Drosophila melanogaster: one gene and its partner. The protein of the gene in region 2 interacts with the protein of the main gene of each other region in a pairwise test. Each region holds a gene or a part of one and is shown on either strand. Other genes may lie near its edges. The genes, in order: CG5866 and CG43367.

Region 1 (3,191 bases), on a different chromosome or scaffold from region 2:
TGTTGATCGTGCCAACATTTCCGTCCGTCCGTCCATTATGTATGCAGAATAGGATCTATATCTGAAGCCAGACTTCAACGACTGATGGGTATCTAATAGTCGAGAAAATCGACTAAGGCGTTTATTCTTAAATGGCAACGAGTAATGGGTATCTAATAGTCGAGAAAATCTACTAAGGCATTTAATATTGATTGTTTTGTAATGCATTTTAATTTGTTATCTATTTAATAAGTTACAGTTGTTTCGATTGGCATAAAATGGCCCTGATATTAATATGAGGAGGACCTGAGGGGAGGCTAGCCTTTTTTGTTTTATATATATGGTAAATGATACCATATCTTTAAATACCTTCTATCTTTAAAGATTTAAAAGATCTAGGCTTCCGAATATAGGTTTATGCATAAGATTATCATACATAGGACAACCAGATTTATGTAAATAGTACACACAACACCGACAACAACAAAATTATTTCATTTGACAATATTATATTTCAGAAAAAGAAAACAATACAACTTAGGATATTATATTAGATATTTATATCTATATTTATATAAATATTTATATTTATATTTAGTTATCTTGAGCTTAGAATTAGTGGGCCCTGTAAGCGCTGGGCAGACGATGGCATTCGTGATGACCGATGTGTCTCAAAACTGCAATTAAACAATAATATCATTTGTGAAAATGTTTTAGATATGTTTATAACCAACCTGGCTTAAGTTCATTGCGACGCAGGCAGTTCAAAACGGCCAGTGCGCAGGAGTTCTCCACCCTGTAGCAGAGATGACCATCGGTGGCATAAGCTGGACTATGAACCCTGGGGCAATGGATGGTGGCGTGGCAGTTGCGATGATGATGAACACCATGAGTTCCGTGATATGGTGCCTCCAGATGGTTGTGGTGGATTGGATGCTGATGGTGGGATCCATGAACTTCTTGAAATGGTGCCTCGAGTTGTTGGTTAGGATGTGAACCATGATAGTGGTGCTGAGGGGATCCGTGGATAGGATCATGCGATTCAGACAACTGATGATGATGGTGGGGCTCAGATAGGTGATGGTGCCCTTCTAGGTGATAATGGGGTCCGTGCTCGTGAGGATGCGATTGAAATTGATACAGATGTACTCGTTGATGTTGATGTTCTTTTCCTGCAGACAATGACTCGTTAGGAACGATTTGATGCACTGAAGCATCTTCGACAGGCAGATATCCTTTCTGGGGAACCTTCGCTTCTAAGATAATAATATCCGATCTGCGCAGAAAGGATCCTTGGGCAAGGACCATCCAAGCACTCAGCAAGAAAACGAAACGCAGAGCCATATTTTCTTCAACTGATGCTGATTCACAGGAACCTTTTCGGTTTTATACCCAGAGCACAATAGAAACCGAGTCCAATAATTTAAACTTAATAAGAAACCCATTTTAATTAGAAATTAATTAAAAGATAAGCACCGCAATAGCATCACTAGTGGGCAGCTAATTAAATAATATAAATACTCTCAAGCAGGGCATAAATCACAACCTTGTGGTATATGCAGGCTAGGAACGTTCAACTCGGGAGTTTCTTTACCTAGAGCTCTGAATTCTAAACCCTCAGGTCAACCCGAGTTGACTGAACCCATTCGCATGCTTACATCTTTACAAATGGTCTTAAATATAATGGTCTTTTAATATTTTTATTTTGATTTTGCCCTATAATTCTCAACTGATTCTAGTAAAGACTGTGTGACTGGACGTGTAGTTTAGAGTCACGGAATATTAAAAGTAAACTATTTTACAATGTGTGTATTTAACAGGTGTGATTACTTGGAAACGACTAATGTTAGGTATACAAGTGTTTTAACTGTTATGTACCTAAAACTTATTTTAAAATGTGTGACCCAAAATATAAATAATCTCATAAACTGGAATTGTGACCATATTTCTTCAGCTTTTTATTCACGTTTCATATTAAAATAAAATGTTAAGTTCCTGTTAAGAAAGGGATCACTGAAGAAGATATATATCTATTTAGATTTATTTGTTTACAAAGTGCTACTAAATCTATCTCGCGGACTTCACAAATAATATGTAAGTAATTAAGCTACTGTATTATTCTGTTGTAATTATATTAGTTAATTGAAGTTAGGTAATTGTAACTCTAAAACCCCAAAGCAAACGTCACGTGGTCAACAGAAGTGGATAATTTTAGTGAATTATATTGGACATGCATGGAGTTACGCTTTTCTATCTTTAATTAGTTTAAATAATATTTAATATAATATAATAAGATACGAAATATGTGCTATTCCATTAATAGGATGAATAATATTTATACTGAGCCATATATTATATAAATGTACATTTTTATATAACACAAACAAAATGAAATTTATACGGATTACATATTTATAATATTATGTTAAAGCGAATTTTAAAAATTATTATTATTAAACAATAGTTTTTTACCATATCTTTTAAACTGGGTGTGACTAAAACACTTTTATATTATTCAGCGCACTCGCTTGATTTCTACGTGACTTGTTGGCTGTTTGTTACGCAAACACGACTTCGATATTTGGTTTCATGCTTGAGGCCCCAAAGAGCCCTAATAGATAAAAACAACTAATAGATTTAGGTGTAAAAGTTCATTTACTTTCGTTCACGCTTAAAACATTCTGCGTGGCTTACAAAAAAGCTGTAAAATTGAATAAAGGGAAATAAGTCAACTGTAATATCTAAACATGTAGTTTAACTCACTCTGGCCAGTACGACAGGTGTGAGCCCGTTTTTCACATTCGTTACCAAAGTTTAGGACTTCGCCCTTGTAGATTCCAGTTGTGGGCTGGTAGATGGCTGTACAAATGTCGGCGCATTGCTTCTGACACTCCCTCTTTGTCGTTATGGTCAAGGCTTTTATATAATCAACATAATATTCGTTTGATTAATTCTTATTAAGTTGTAATAAGAAACTGCTCACCTGGCTTTCGATGGCAGTTCTCCTTGTCGAAATAACACTTATTCCGGAAAACATTGCAACCTCCTCCAAGAGCCCAAACAACTTCCTCCGTATCCGGACATTCGCCTGAACAGTTACCCCTAACTTGGCTCAAAGCCACACACAGCAAAAGGCAAATATATAGAGAGAAATTCATGTTTAAAGGCCTCGAAGTTTTGGAATGAACTGAACAGATCGTTTGCCACCTCCA
Region 2 (4,912 bases):
TTTGACTGCTCCTTCAGCTGATTGAATCGGACCAGAATGTGAAAGATGAAGCCATATGAACCGGAGATAGTCCAGTTTCGAATATCGGGTACAAGAATACCATCCGTCGGTTGCTCAATGGAAAAGAACTCGGCGCAGGAATTGCTGCCTCTAAGGCTCTGCAAAGCAATTACAACAAGAGTCTGCAAGAAATTTAACTATTAACAAGAATACGATATCACAAGGGGATAGAATTTCACCTGCTGAAGCTGCTTGAACTGCGGAAACTTCGTGCCCTGCCGCAACAGTGAAAATATGCACTTGAGCTCCGCGGGTACAATACTGAGCTTGCTTAATTCCTCTATCAACTTAATGAGATTCTGAACACAGTTCTCGGCCAGAGATTCCGCCGTCAGGAGGCAACCACATACTGCTTTGATAATATGACTGCCACATGCCACAGTTTTTCTGTTAAATATTCAAAAGGCTGATGTATCCGTTGATTATATCAATCGAAGCTAATTTTCTTACGTTCTGTAGTTGTCGGTGCAGCCCTTGAGCACAAGACTGGTCACATGCAATTGTTCGCGCTCTTGGAGCGTTGGCACCCAATTGAGCAATCGAAGCATAACTTCGGGTAGCAGCAAAAAGTGCTCACTTTCATCGTAGCCAAGCATGAAACAAGTGTCCAGGAGTTCGACTGTTGGACTGCCATATTCCTGCAGGCTGGTAAAGAGCCTCTCGATGCGCTCACCCTGTCGCAACTGGGACGCGGATTGAGGGGAATGGCGCGCTAAAATAGCCAAAGCTTCCATGGTGCTGCACAGGGAACTCGAGTGGGAAATATGCCAGGGCTATAAAGTATAACAATGATTAGTACTGAATTTGTAAGAGATAAGAAAACATACTTTTATAAGCTTTGGCAGATTGGTAAGCAGTTCCAATAGATTGGAATCGGAAACGGCTTCACTAACACCTGCATCGCCTGTGACAAAGAATTTAACAGCCGCTACGGTGGAGGAGAGTGCAGCCATGTCGATAGCCACATCCTGGTCAGCATCGCTGGTTATATCGAAATTGGCATCCCCGCTATCGAAGTGCTTTGTGGCCAGGAGCTCTTGGAGAGCATCACAATACAGTTGAACTAACGTAACTAGGTCTATTTGGCGCTGTGCAACGAAGATGTGATTAGTTTGCTGTGGAAACGAAATGGCTGGCTACTCACTTCTTCCGGACTAGATTTCTGCAGCACAATGACCATCAGCGCATAGCATTGCAGGGCTACGCGGCGCAGATTATTGGCACTCTCCCATTGTCGCAGGATACTCATGGTAATGGACACCGTGGCGGGGCAAATGGCCTTCATACCATTGCGCTGATCAGACCAAATTCACCATTATAAGGGTTCAACGCAGGACATGGGACAGACAAGCAATGGCATGCATGAGCAACGGTTAGGGGACAACAATGATCGGGACAACAGATGGTTCCACCACTCACCAAGTTATCACAGTCTAGCAGCCCATCACCCGAGCAGGGGGCAAGTGAAGAAGTGGTTAGAGCGTTAGTATTTCTATTTGTCAGGGTCGAGGTCGAGTTTAGAGACTTCTGCACTTTCAGCTGCAGCTGGAGGAGATCCAGCCACACAACGATACACGAAATGAAACGAAATAGGACAAGGAAACAAAATGATAGAGCTCTAACGTACATTAATAGCGAAAGCAGTGAGCAGAAAGGTAAGCTGTCAGGAAGTGAGGTTAATAATTAAACGGTTTTTAAGAGAGAAAGGACTACACAGGAAGGGACTGGAGACGCTTTCTGGCGCTACCTGTGAGCCGCAAATCACAGCGCCCAGGATGTTTAGCAGGCTTTCGCCAATTTCCGCATATCGGATGAGCTTCTCCTCCTGAAAGCAATCTGCAAGGCAAAGCGAAATGTTAGTGGGCCAAACTGTTATGGGGCAGTGATGGGTCACTTAAACTTAAACTGGGATCAGACTCATCAGTAGTTAGTTACACTCCATCACTGCCTCTTTATCCTTTTTATCTTACCATAAATAAAGGGGACAATTTCCACATGAACCGAGTGGGGTTTATATGAAAGACGACTGTAGTCAGCTGACTGGCCTCGCACGAAGCTGCGCCACGTCAGATATGGATCATACATGACTTCCAGGAATGCCGAGAAACTGCTAAACAGGTGGCTTATTGCGGGCACGCTCTGCGGCAGCTCCATTTGCTGGAATTCATTGATAAGTTAATTGTGGTAAAACCCAGCAATATGTATAAGATATTTGCATACTTGTTTGAACACCCTGGAGAGTATGGCGATCAAATTCGGCTTGTATTCATACTTGATGATGGACAGTATGTTATCAAAGTGCCGGCACACGATCACCAGACAATCCACGAGTATGGCTACTTCTTCAATGGCCTGCTCCTCCAGTTTCCCTTCCGTTTCGCAAACATCTCTGGCTACAATGATGAATTTACCGATGGCGGGCAGGAGTTCATCCGGGAGGCGGCCCAAGTGGGGACCACTATCCGGCTGAACCTCGTGCCACATCGGGCAATTTTCCGCCTGAAAGTCTAGCTGCAGTTGGCTCCTCCAAATGGCCACGAAGCGGGCCACAAATTGCCGGAAGTGGGTTTCATCATTCTTAAAACGAAAAGAGCGAGGGAGAGGGAAGGATTTAGTTTGAGCCTCTCCGGGATTATATAATCATTACACTGTTTACATTACTTGAAGTGCTGTTTGCCTTTCAGTGACTAATGCTATAAACATTTGCGGCCTCCCCCGCAATTGGAGCAGCACCCCCCGCCACTCCTCCACCCAAAATCCGACTTCTTATCACTCGATTTTCTCTAATTGGAACCTTACCTTTGTCGTGTACTGCACCCACAGATTGTATATATCCTTCTTATTGTCCATCGTCGCGTTTTTTCCAGCAATTTTCTCAACTGAACGGCATTTGTTAATTGCTAGCCGAGTTTTTCCCCAAGGCGAATTATTTGTTTACAAAAAAAAATGTTGCCGACGATGTAGGTTGTTTTGTCCACAGCCCAGGTTTTGCTCTATTTCGGCGTTGTTTTCCGAGCTCCTCCTTGGGAGCGAACGTCTATATAGTCAGAGTGATAGCCTCTACAGAGGTTGCAAGCCGTGATTCAGATTTCAGCACATTTACAAGAACTTTTTGGCCAAATTTTCACACAGCTAGAGGCACAGGTGAAAACGGCAACAGCTGATTGCTTCTTCTTCCTGTCATTCACCATTGTTTGGCAGTGTTGTAAAATGCGCGGGTAACCAAAAATGTTGGCGCCAAATTTTGATCTCAAATATCATTAATGAAATTGAAGATCTTTGTTATTTATTTTGTATAGCTGCAAAAATTCATCCATAACACCAAAATAAAACAGCATGACAACTTAGGCTGCTAAATGCGTATTTATTTCGAGATTTTCATGTATTTGGTTTCAATTCTAGTAGCATTTTGTTATTTGTTTGTCTGTTTTACATGATATTAGCTAATAGTTGCGCTTCTGTTGCCATTGCTTGACCCTCGTTAACTATTTCCAACTGTCGTTAAAAACAAACGATTTCTGTGTAGTTCATTGCCGCCTATCATTGATACAATATGCGCAAAAGTGCAGTTTATTGATGCGGATGCGGATGCTGATGCAGATGCGGATGCTTCTATACGCATTCTATACGCAATTTCGTTTAGAAGTGACTTGGTTTGGTTTTCGGTTTTGTTTGTAATATAAAAAGGAAACGTTAGTTTATATTTAATTTCAGACCTAAATTATTAAGATTTAATGCAATATTTTATTTGTAAGTTTTTAATTGAATAGCTTGAACCATTTGTAGGACCTATAAATATTCACTATCCGTTAATAATCTTAATAAAATAAATATGTAGAAGAAAAATCTTATGCCTCCGTTTCAGTTAGTTAAAGCTGTGAGTTTTTATCCGCATTAATTTGAAGGATAACAATGTTAGTTAATTTACGTTAATTTAAGTTAATGTTAATTTAATTTAATTTAATTTACTTCAAATATAGGCATTCGACTTGCTTTCGTTTATCATTACGTTTAAATGAAATACACGATGCTTTCGTTTGTTGTTAAATTTAATTTCTGTTTTTCGGTTTTTACGCATTACGGTTTGCAGCACTTGAATGGGCATTACAATATTTAAAAAACCTCAGCGCCTCGATTTATCGATTTGTAAATAAGTTGCGCGCCTTGTTTTTCTTTTGCTTTTATTTGCTCTATTTGGAATTTGGGTTTTGGATTGTGGATGTTGGGCAATGGGTAGTGGGGTAGTGGAGTTGGTGGAGTTTATCTGTGTTTCTGCCTCGAGACGACGACGATTGTTGCGAATAGAAAAATAATTCAAGTAAATATTTGTATATGCGTGTATAAGTATTATAGTTTTTCCTCTAGGTATATGAATAGCACTCCATGCTCGAGTCCATGCGGCCTATGTTTTTATTGTATTTGTACCAATCGCCTAAGATCCTCCAGATATCAGATACTGTGCACATACTATAATGCCCGTGCATTGCAATTTTGAGTGGGTGTGGCAGTCCGGAGTTACTCCGGCTATCTAGCGTGCTTAATGTGGGTGAGTGTTTGTGTGAGTGTAGGTGTGAATCCGAGTAGCTAGTTCATAAGGTAAATATAATCTATCATAGTTCATTAGGTGCCGCTAACAGCTCTGAAGGTATTCAGGTTCGGTCGCATTCGCTGCGTTGTTGTCGATTGTTTCGGGTAGAAATACTTGGGGTGTATCGCGCTTTACGGTTGCCTCATGAGTTCTTTTTCGGGTTGGGTCTCCGCTCCGGTGATCTCCGCCTGCTCCGTGGTCCGTGGCTGACCGCTCGGCGGTCTACGAGTCCAGTAGCGGCTCATTTTCTGAATCGGAATCTAA

The links.
Region 1: the proteins of CG43367 (region 2) and CG5866 interact in a two-hybrid assay, tested with the Drosophila melanogaster proteins (one large-scale study listed by BioGRID).

Annotation. Positions count from the first base shown.
Region 1 is NT_033777.3:17,413,878-17,417,068, reverse strand, and holds CG5866 (uncharacterized protein), read right to left. Parts: upstream 1,331-3,191; 5' UTR 1,324-1,330; coding exon 714-1,323; intron 657-713; coding exon 595-656; 3' UTR 564-594; downstream 1-563. Other genes in the region: CG42822 (uncharacterized protein), read right to left, coding at 2,670-2,680, 2,743-2,895, 2,963-3,137.
Region 2 is NT_037436.4:4,192,283-4,197,194, reverse strand, and holds the start of CG43367 (uncharacterized protein), read right to left. Parts: upstream 3,203-4,912; 5' UTR 2,911-3,202; coding exon 2,860-2,910; intron 2,638-2,859; coding exon 2,281-2,637; intron 2,218-2,280; coding exon 2,031-2,217; intron 1,897-2,030; coding exon 1,808-1,896; exon of another isoform or gene 1,690-1,807; coding exon of another isoform or gene 1,606-1,689; coding exon 1,480-1,605; intron 1,355-1,479; coding exon 1,205-1,354; intron 1,149-1,204; coding exon 888-1,148; intron 834-887; coding exon 511-833; intron 448-510; coding exon 240-447; intron 183-239; coding exon 1-182. Other genes in the region: CG18675 (uncharacterized protein), read right to left, coding at 4,890-4,912.